Linked DNA regions of Canis lupus familiaris. The main gene of each other region encodes a partner of the protein of the gene in region 2 in a complex. Links are inferred from orthologs where the notes say so. Each region holds a gene or a part of one and is shown on either strand. Other genes may lie near its edges. The genes, in order: IL22 and IL22RA2.

Region 1 (4,334 bases), on a different chromosome or scaffold from region 2:
TAAATCATGATCAGCAAGAAATAATTTTTAAAAGAAACATCAAGGTGGAAAGAAGGGGATGATTAAGGTTACACCTGTTATTAAAAATTCCAATAGCTAGAACCTTCATGTTTCTGAGGTTTGTTACCTGCTTGCAAAAGCATCACTTTCGCTGCTAGTAATCATTCCTCTGGTTTTTGAATGAGTCACAATTGCTAGTCTGAGCCTTCTACTATTGTTCCTTTATCCAAATAGGCCATGTGACAGTATCATTCTCTGTACAAATGCACACTAGCCTAACCAGATAGATGCTCACTGGGGATTTGTTGAGTGAAGAAGGAGACCAGAAAGGAAAGGGAAAAAAGAGAGGAAGAGAAGAGTATTTCCAGTTCAGACTTCCATTCACTCTAATAAATCCATTCCATTTGGAACTGCATAAAAGAAATTGGGGGTTGCTCATTCTTGCTTTTAAATTAAAATCAATAGCTTCTAGGTATTATATTATGATAATTAAATATAAGTATCAATAATTCTAAAAATTTACATCATATATGTGCAACTCTTTTGTTATGGTTGTTCTGGGTTTATTTCTCCAAGTTTTAAGTCATCAAATCAATGGCTTCAAAAATCACCTCAAATAAATTTGTCCCCAAGTACTTTCCTGTTTTTGAACAAGTGCTTGTTTGGATTACGTGAATCAGTAGGAATTTCAAATTTCCTAAAGAATTAACACTAAAACTAACACAAATTGCTGCTAGAAAGAGTGCTGGAGGGGATTCAAGAGACCTGCATTCTAGCCCTGGCTCTACGGCTAGTCATGCCCAGAACATGGGGTGAAGAGATTAGATAATCTTATTTCCCAGTCAATTCTAGAATTCTATGATTTGCAAAATTTTAAAATTTATCTATAAATATATATAATAAATATATATAAAATAAATACAAAATAAATAGTATATACAAATAAATATATATATAATCAACCTGATGTAGGCAAATAAAGCAAAAAATTACATGTGGGGGGAAAAAAGAAAAGGTAGGAAAGAAAAACAATATTTGTCTCTCCTATTTAATGGTTAGAGTTAATAGTTATTAGTAGTACCTTTTGCACTGTGTCCTTCAGCTTTTGCACATTTCTCTGGATATGCTGGTCATCGTTCTCAATATGCTACAAAATGAAAACCAGAGCACTTATTTTAACACTGTCGTGCTGAAGCTTTATGAACCTCAGCGTCCCTAACTGAGGTGTGTTACAATGCACCTGGAGTTAAAGTTCTTAGCAATTTTGCCCACAATGACCTAGATTTCACCAGTGACCTAGATTTTCAAAGCTCTTGAATTCCCTTGGACACCAAAATCCAGTCATTTCCCTTACATGGGACCTCTCTTCACCCTTGAGAAATCCTACTGAGGTTTACGTTTGTGGAAAGAGTAGAGTGGTTTATGCAAATTCTGTGAAGAATAAAACCCTAACTCTACCCCTCAAAAAAATGCATGCTCAGAACAAGAAACGGACATAAAATGTCTTGTGTGAACAGTAGGCCCTCCTCAATAAATACTAGGTCCCTTCACTCTGCCCACTCCACTGCAGTCTTTTCATAATTTTAAATATTCAGAGCCATCAAGGTCACACACCTCTGACTTTTGTCCCTTCTCGTGACATCCAAAGGGCAACCATCTTTGCCCACCCAGCACTGAACATTAAATCTTCCCATTAGCCTCTCTTCTTCCCACCTGTTCCATCTATACTCCAGGGACCCATTCCCACACCTAGGCATTTTTTCCCTACAGGTCTCAACACCTTTCTTGTCTCACATAACTTGAGATGCTTTTTCCCAAGGACAAAAGAGCTTTCTCTGCTCTTGTCTTTCAGACACTCTTCGTCATCATATGTTCAAAATATGATTCAATTAAAGCAAAAACAAACATTCTGTGATTCCAAATGACTCTCACGGTGGTGTTGCTGAGGCACCTCTTGCTGCCAGCGTGGGAAGGGGCAGTGAGGGTTTGCAGAGAAGAGCTCTAAAGGAAAGAAGCAAGGCAAGACAGTCAAGTAGGAGAGGGTAGAGTTAGGCGGGGACAAAAACTCACACATTGGCTTAGCTTGTTGCTGAGCCTGGCCAGGAAGGGCACCACCTCCTGCATATAGGGCTGAAACCTATCGGATTGGGGGAGCAGCACTTCTTCAAGGGTAAAGTTCAGCACCTCCTTCATCAGATAGCAGCGCTCTCCCATCTGCAGGCAAAAGTGAAACAGCAGGGGTCATGTTGAGGGGCATCCAGAAGACCCAAAGCATCATCACCACCATCCAAACAACCAGGGATGACACACTGCCCCGCTCATCATGACTATGGCTTACATTGACTCCGTGGAACAGTTTCTCCCCAATGAGACGAACATCTGTGTTGTTATCTGCCAAACTAGCCTGGAAGAGAAGAAAAGACTAAGTGCCTTTTCATCTGTGATGAAAAGTCTGTGAGTAGAGATGCACTCTATCCACTCTCCCCAGAGCAGCCCCATGAAGACTCAAGAATTCAGATGTGTGCATGAGTTTAAAATAATGCACACAGGAGTAAGGAGAAACACAGTCAGAAGGGCTAATAAATGGCCTTTGGGGAGTAAAATTCAACGAACATATATCATCAAGGCCAACATGGAGGGTCTTCTGGTAAAGCCTAATCTCCAAAGAGTCTCTAAGGAGACATAGAAAATAATCTGTGGTCTACCAGTGAGGAGAGACAATGCATTCTTACAGATCTTAGTAGTGTTCTGGAAAACGTTTTAGGAACTATCAGGTTCCAAGGAGAGAAGATATGAAAGACAGAGAGACCGAGATGAGTACCTCCTTAGCCAGCATGAAGGTGCGGTTGGTGATATAGGGCTGCTGGAAGTTGGACTTGTCAAGTCTGCAGTGAGAGCTGATGGGCAGCGCTGCCCCTCCCTGCACCCACAGGGCAATGAGAAGGAGGCAGCTGGCGGCCAGAGTTCCCATAAGGGTAGAGCTCACAGATTTCTGCAGGGCAGCCATCGCAGACAGCTCTAACTGGAACTAATGGCGACTAGAAAAGAAACCTGGTATCAAGAGAACAAGAAGCAAAAGCATAAAGGCAAACAATTAGGTATCAAGAAGTATCACGTCAAACGAACCCATCACACCAAGTTTGCTGAAACACTTACCTGTTTCGATGATTCTGCTTGTGAGGGGAAGGCAAAAGTTGCTGCTTTTATAGCCCCCAGAATACACATTTTTTTTTTTGTAAAAAATGACATCAGCAATTATCTAATTTCCAGTACTGTCTTCTGAGAACTACCTAACCACCACAGGAGCCCACAAAACGCCACCTCCTATTTTTCCCACCTTGAAATGCGAGTGTTTCCCTAAAACGTCACTATTAGGGCCCCAAAGGTGTTTTCACAGATAAATCCCAGAAATTTTCTAAACCCTACTTATTTTTCAAAGAAAGCAATTGCTTTGTCTTCGTGGATTCCAGATTCGGCATAATATTTTTTCATCTTCTGTAGTAGCTGAGTAAACAGTTTGGTCATAGGCTCATTTTCCTTCCAGCTTCATAGATTCTTATCTCATTAAAGGTGATCAGAAATAAAGGACTCGTGTCCTATATCCTCTGCCTTAAAATAAATAGTGATAATAGCTTGGAGATAATTCCACTTTTAAAAATAACCTTATAAATTTTTAATACACTTTTATGTACATTTAATGTACATAAAAATATACACATATATTTTTAATCCTGAGGAAGACTTGCATTTTTAAAATAACAGTGTTGGCTAATCTAAGCACTCATTTTATCCCATTCTGTGACTTTTTAAAGTGATCTTAATAATTATGGTGGATGCAAATATATCTTAAAATTTTCTTTGAAGGATACCTGGCTAGCTCAGTCAGAGGAGCATGTGACTCTTAATTCCTGGCATCATAAGGCTGAGTCCTACATTGGGTGTAGAGGTTACTTTAAAAAAAATTTTATTAAATTATAATCAGTATCAATTTAAATTTGGAAATACTAATGCTTAGCAATCTAATCGCTACCTTTCTTAACATACAAGTGTTTTAAGAATATAGTAGATATAATAGCTCATCTTGAAATATTACCTGTGCTCATTCAAGTTAAGTAACACACAAGTTAAGTCTCGAAATAATATTTCCAAAAAATCTTTCTAACAACTTTTATCATGTATATGGATGCCTAAGGAAGAGAACCTGGCAATATAGTAGTTATATCTTGATTTTGAGTTATTAAAAATGGATTAAATTCTAAATAACACCTAAAAACTAGACTGGGAAACCTCCCAAGAGATGGATGACAGGGGAGCAAGTGCCATGATCTATTGCT
Region 2 (4,363 bases):
GCCCAGGACGGCACCAGAGGAGTCTGCACACAAACCTTCCTCCATCAGTTCCTCCCGTCAGGTCCTTGAGCTTACTACCACAGTTTGCCACCCTCGGAAGCCTAAGTGGCCCGTCGGGTCCCTGTAAACGTGTTGCTCTGTGTTGAAGCTGAATACCAAGCACCATGTGAGTGACTCTTCGCTTGGGTTCCTGCCTTGTGATGTGTGATGGAATGATTCTGTTTTCTCTTGTTAATCTGCCTTTTTGGTAATGAGTCCCAGCTGAAAGCCTAAGATGGGCAGGGGTGAAGAAGTTCTGCCTCCCAGCAAGTGTGGGGTTTCTGATCAGGGATAGGAAGTTGGGCAGAAGGAGAGGGCGTCAGGAAACACATCCTCATCATTTCCCGACTTCATCTTCTACCCCACCCCCCCTGACTCCAGGGTGGCCCCCTTCCTCCTGCTCCGCCACGCCGGGTGTGCTCCCACCTGCGGGTCCCTGCACCGGTCCTAGCTCTCCCCTGGAATCCCACACGCTTCATTTCTTTACCACCTTCAAGCCTTTGCTAAAAAATCTTTGAGAAGTGAGAACATACTTCTGAGCTCACAATCTCAGTTCTGAACATTCAAGCTTTGTTTTATTCTATTGAAGGGAGCTGTTTGGTTTTTGTTTGCTTTTATTTTTATTTTTTGGAACTCCTTCAGTGCATCAAATGGTGGTGTGTACTTGGAAAGAGTCTACTGCCACCATTGATTTTGCTCACCAAAATCACTACCGGATCTTGTCCTATGCAGTACAGAAAAATTCCAGAAGTCTCAGGACGTGATGAACACAATTTCCTGGAGCCTGTGCCACCCCAGAGATGGTCAGCTCAATGTCCTTTATCCCCTCTGTCTCTGGATTTCTTCTCTCACTTTTGTAACACCACCACTGCTACCACCAATAATAACAGATCACCGGGTACCAGCCACTGAGGGCCTGTACCTGTGTTAACTCACTTAATCTGCCCTACTCTTCTATGAAAAAAGTACTATTGAAGTCTCCCTCTGACAGACAAAATTGGTGAAGCGGATTTTGTACCAGGCACCTGACTCCAGAGCCTGCTGCTGTCACCCCTCCACTGCAGAAACCAAGAACAAAGCCTCTGGAGAGACGTGGAAAAAAAGCAATGAGCGTCTGAGGATATTCTTTCTCCTCCTTTTCATCTCCGCCTCCTCTGGCTGGCACTCACTGATCACTGAGCATATATGAACATGAAACATGTATCAGGCACTGTGTGGAAAGCTTTACACAGTATCCCATATTCATGACCACCAAATAAGGTAGGAATTTTTATTAGTACATTTTACACATGGGGAAGCTGAGCCTTCAGAACATTGTGGATCTTGCCCAAAGTTCCAGGCCTGTAGCAAGTAGAGCCAGAATCATTTTGTTAGTGCTTGAATTCCTGCTATATTTTGCTAAACAAGTCCTTTCTATTGCCAAGGACCAAAGGTATAGTCCACTCAAATTCACACCTTTCTTTCTTTCTTTCTTTCTTTCTTTCTTTCTTTCTTTCTTTCTTTCTTTCTTTCTTTCTTTCTTTCTTTCTTTCTTCTTTCTTTCTTTCTTTCTTTCTTTCTCTTTCTTTCTTTCTTTCTTTCTTTCTTTCTTTCTTTCTTTCTTTCTTTCTTTCTTTCTTTCTTCTTTTTTTTAATTTTATTTATTTGTTCATGAGAGACACAGAGAAAGAAGCAAAGACATAGGCAGAGGGAGAAGCAGGCTCCTCGTGGGGAGCCCAATGCGAGATCAATACTAGGACCTTGGGATCATGACCTGAGTTGAAGGCAGATGCTCAACCACTGAGCCAACCTCGTGCCCCACAAATCCACTCATTTCTGAAAGATGAGGGCTTGAATTGTTTTCATGTTATCAGTCTCTGAGCAATTGTATAGTCTTGGGAACATTTGTTAAGTCACGCTGACAGGTAGCTATCTTTCACTGGGGGAATGTAATGGCCTTGATCAGAGGTATCTTGGGGTGACAAGATATTCACTGCTCTTGAAAAGTTCTCTGTGAAGACCAACAGCAAATTCTCAAATGAAGTTTATGGTCTCCATTCTGTGCCAGGCACTGCTCTAAGCACTGAGTACATATTAACTCGTAATCCTCACGGCGACTTACAATCCCCATTCTACAGACTAGGAAATTAAGGCACAGGGTAGATAAAGTCAATTGCCCTAAGTTTCCTAGATAGTAAATGGCAGATCTGGGATCCAGGCTCAGGTAGTCAGGCAAGGAGCCTGCTCATAACTACTGTGCTGTAGTTTCCCTTGAAGTTTCCTGAGCGCCTCCTCTTTAGCAGCTCCTTGTGAAGTCCACGTGGAGTTACGCAGGCTGCACATAGAAATTGACCCCATGTCTGTTCTGATCATTTCACAACAGAAGAAAGCTGAAAATTTGACAAAGCCCAGAAAAGCAGTGGTGCCATTTCCAACAGCCCCTTGAGCAGACTCAGATGACAAAATCATGAGCAATTAAAAAGAAGTGAAGCACTTACCTACTACAGCAGTCAGGAAGAGACTGAAGAGGAAGCCTAGAAAGCAGTGTTTAGGCATCATGGTTGGTGTGCGACTGTCAGGCAGCCAGTGGTCCCTTCACTGAGAGCACAGCTCTGGACAGAAGAGGAAACTGAAGAATCCTCATGCTGGACATCCCCTCGTGGGTTTAACCATGGTTCCCTGAAGCAACTATAATGTTTTTTTATTTTAGGTTTATTATAAAAGTATAAAAATCCCTTCAAAAATGTTTGCCATAAGTCACTTCAAGGTAGAAGCTTATTTTTGTTGGGACTAGGACTTTGTTAGCCTTGAAAGGGCAAAACATGGGGATCCCTAGGTGGCTCAGCGGTTTAGCGCTTGCCTTCGGCCGGGGCATGATCCTGGAGTGCTGGGTTCGAGTCCCATGTCGGGCTCCCTGCGTGGAGCCTGCTTCTCCCTCTGCCTGTGTCTTTGCCTCTCTCTCTCTCTCTCTCTGTGTGTCTCTCGTGAATAAATAAAATCTTAAAAAAAAAAAAAGAAAGAGCAAAACACTGAGGATTGGCAGATCAGAGGGCAGGGTAGGGCAGGAATTGTGCAAGGCATGAAAAGGTGAGGGAACAAAACAGCTCGTAAGGCCCTCAGGGAATCTAGCCCAGGGAGGCAGAGACACTGCCAGCCACCACCACTTAGCTGGCAAAGCGATTCTGAGAAATGTGCTTGCCAGTGGCAGCTATCTGGACTCCTGGCAGTGGTTCAAGCTGGTAGGATCTCTGGTTGATTCTTCCTTTTCCTCCCTTCTTGGAAGCTCTCTCTGACTAACTTCCTTGGTGTTTACCTCATGGCCTCCACACCCCCCTGGCTCTCCACTCGCCTCCCTGCCCTACTCATCCATCTGTCTTGCTAATCCTTGGTGGCCCAGGGCCGCAGTCACTAAAGTCTTCCTTTTCCATTTCCACCCTCCATTCCAGCCATCTGAAAGATTTTGAGCTGTCAAACTGAGTCCTTAAAAGGTTGAATGTGGAGAACAATAATTTTGAGCCACATCGTATCTTTTTCATATCTTCTTTGAAATCTGATCGAACTAGGTCATCTATGCTTCACCTATGATTCATTATATTCATTTTTTCTTACCAATTTTTAAACCACATGTTTGTAGAGGCACTATAATTGTACATGAAAGCACAAGAAGAAAGTAATATTTTTTTTTCGAATGAGGATTTTTAGGTCAAAAGAGGAAATGCCTCTGTAGTCTCTCTTAAGTTCTTGGTAGACCAGCCTGTGTAGTAAGTACTAGAGAGGGCTGCTAAGCAGTTCTCATTCATGCCTTCGCTCAACAACATTGAACAAACATTTGCGGCTGATTATTCTCACAGAAAGGGTGCAGCAGCAGTTAAGGTAGACATTGTCTCTACCTTCCAAAGCCTACTTCAAAAGGGAGGTAGACATAACTGCCAGAGCACTATGGACAGGTTTGTGAAAATAACGCCAGGCTTTCCAGCACCTCCAGGCTGTGTCCGACTTCTTAACCAGACCCCTCATCTCTTCCAGGTGGGATTTCCATTGCTCAGAGTGAACCAACGCTTTCAAAGAAGAAACATGCAACAGATCTTAGGCTCTCTTTGCACCCTCTTGGTGCTTCCTGTCTTCTAGGCTTTTCAGCAGCATCTACTTACTGATGTTACCCAGTGAACTCTAGACTTTGCATTAACCTTGGCTATTTTTTTTTTTTTAAGTAGGCTCCATGCCCAGCATGGAGCCCAGTGTGGAGCTTGAACTCACAACCCTGAGATCAAGACCTGAGCTGAGATCAGGAGTTGTATACCCAAACAGTGGAGCCACCCCAGTGCCCCACATTAATGTTGGCTTT

The links.
Region 1: the proteins of IL22RA2 (region 2) and IL22 are in contact, whole or in part, in a crystal structure (PDB 3G9V), measured with the Homo sapiens proteins. The link is inferred for Canis lupus familiaris from reciprocal best matches to the Homo sapiens genes IL22RA2 and IL22. Residues at the interface, in NP_443194.1 of Homo sapiens: Lys65, Ile66, Tyr99, Gly100, Gln101, Arg102, Trp104, Gln128, Glu129, Pro130, Tyr132, Met148, Pro150, Arg151, Thr153, Trp155, Trp156, Glu157, Glu200, Pro246, Met247, Leu248, Asp249, Arg250; in NP_065386.1 of Homo sapiens: Phe47, Gln48, Pro50, Thr53, Asn54, Phe57, Met58, Lys61, Ser64, Leu65, Asp67, Asn69, Thr70, Asp71, Val72, Arg73, Leu74, Lys162, Gly165, Glu166, Asp168, Leu169, Met172, Arg175, Asn176.

The regions. Positions count from the first base shown.
Region 1 is NC_049231.1:10,850,489-10,854,822, forward strand, and holds the start of IL22 (interleukin-22), read right to left. Parts: upstream 3,008-4,334; coding exon 2,822-3,007; intron 2,405-2,821; coding exon 2,339-2,404; intron 2,215-2,338; coding exon 2,071-2,214; intron 1,148-2,070; coding exon 1,082-1,147; intron 1-1,081. UniProt on the Homo sapiens protein: Cytokine that plays a critical role in modulating tissue responses during inflammation. Plays an essential role in the regeneration of epithelial cells to maintain barrier function after injury and for the prevention of further tissue damage.
Region 2 is NC_049222.1:29,859,210-29,863,572, forward strand, and holds the start of IL22RA2 (interleukin-22 receptor subunit alpha-2), read right to left. Parts: upstream 2,967-4,363; 5' UTR 2,578-2,966; coding exon 2,517-2,577; intron 1-2,516. UniProt on the Homo sapiens protein: Isoform 2 is a receptor for IL22. Binds to IL22, prevents interaction with the functional IL-22R complex and blocks the activity of IL22 (in vitro). May play an important role as an IL22 antagonist in the regulation of inflammatory responses.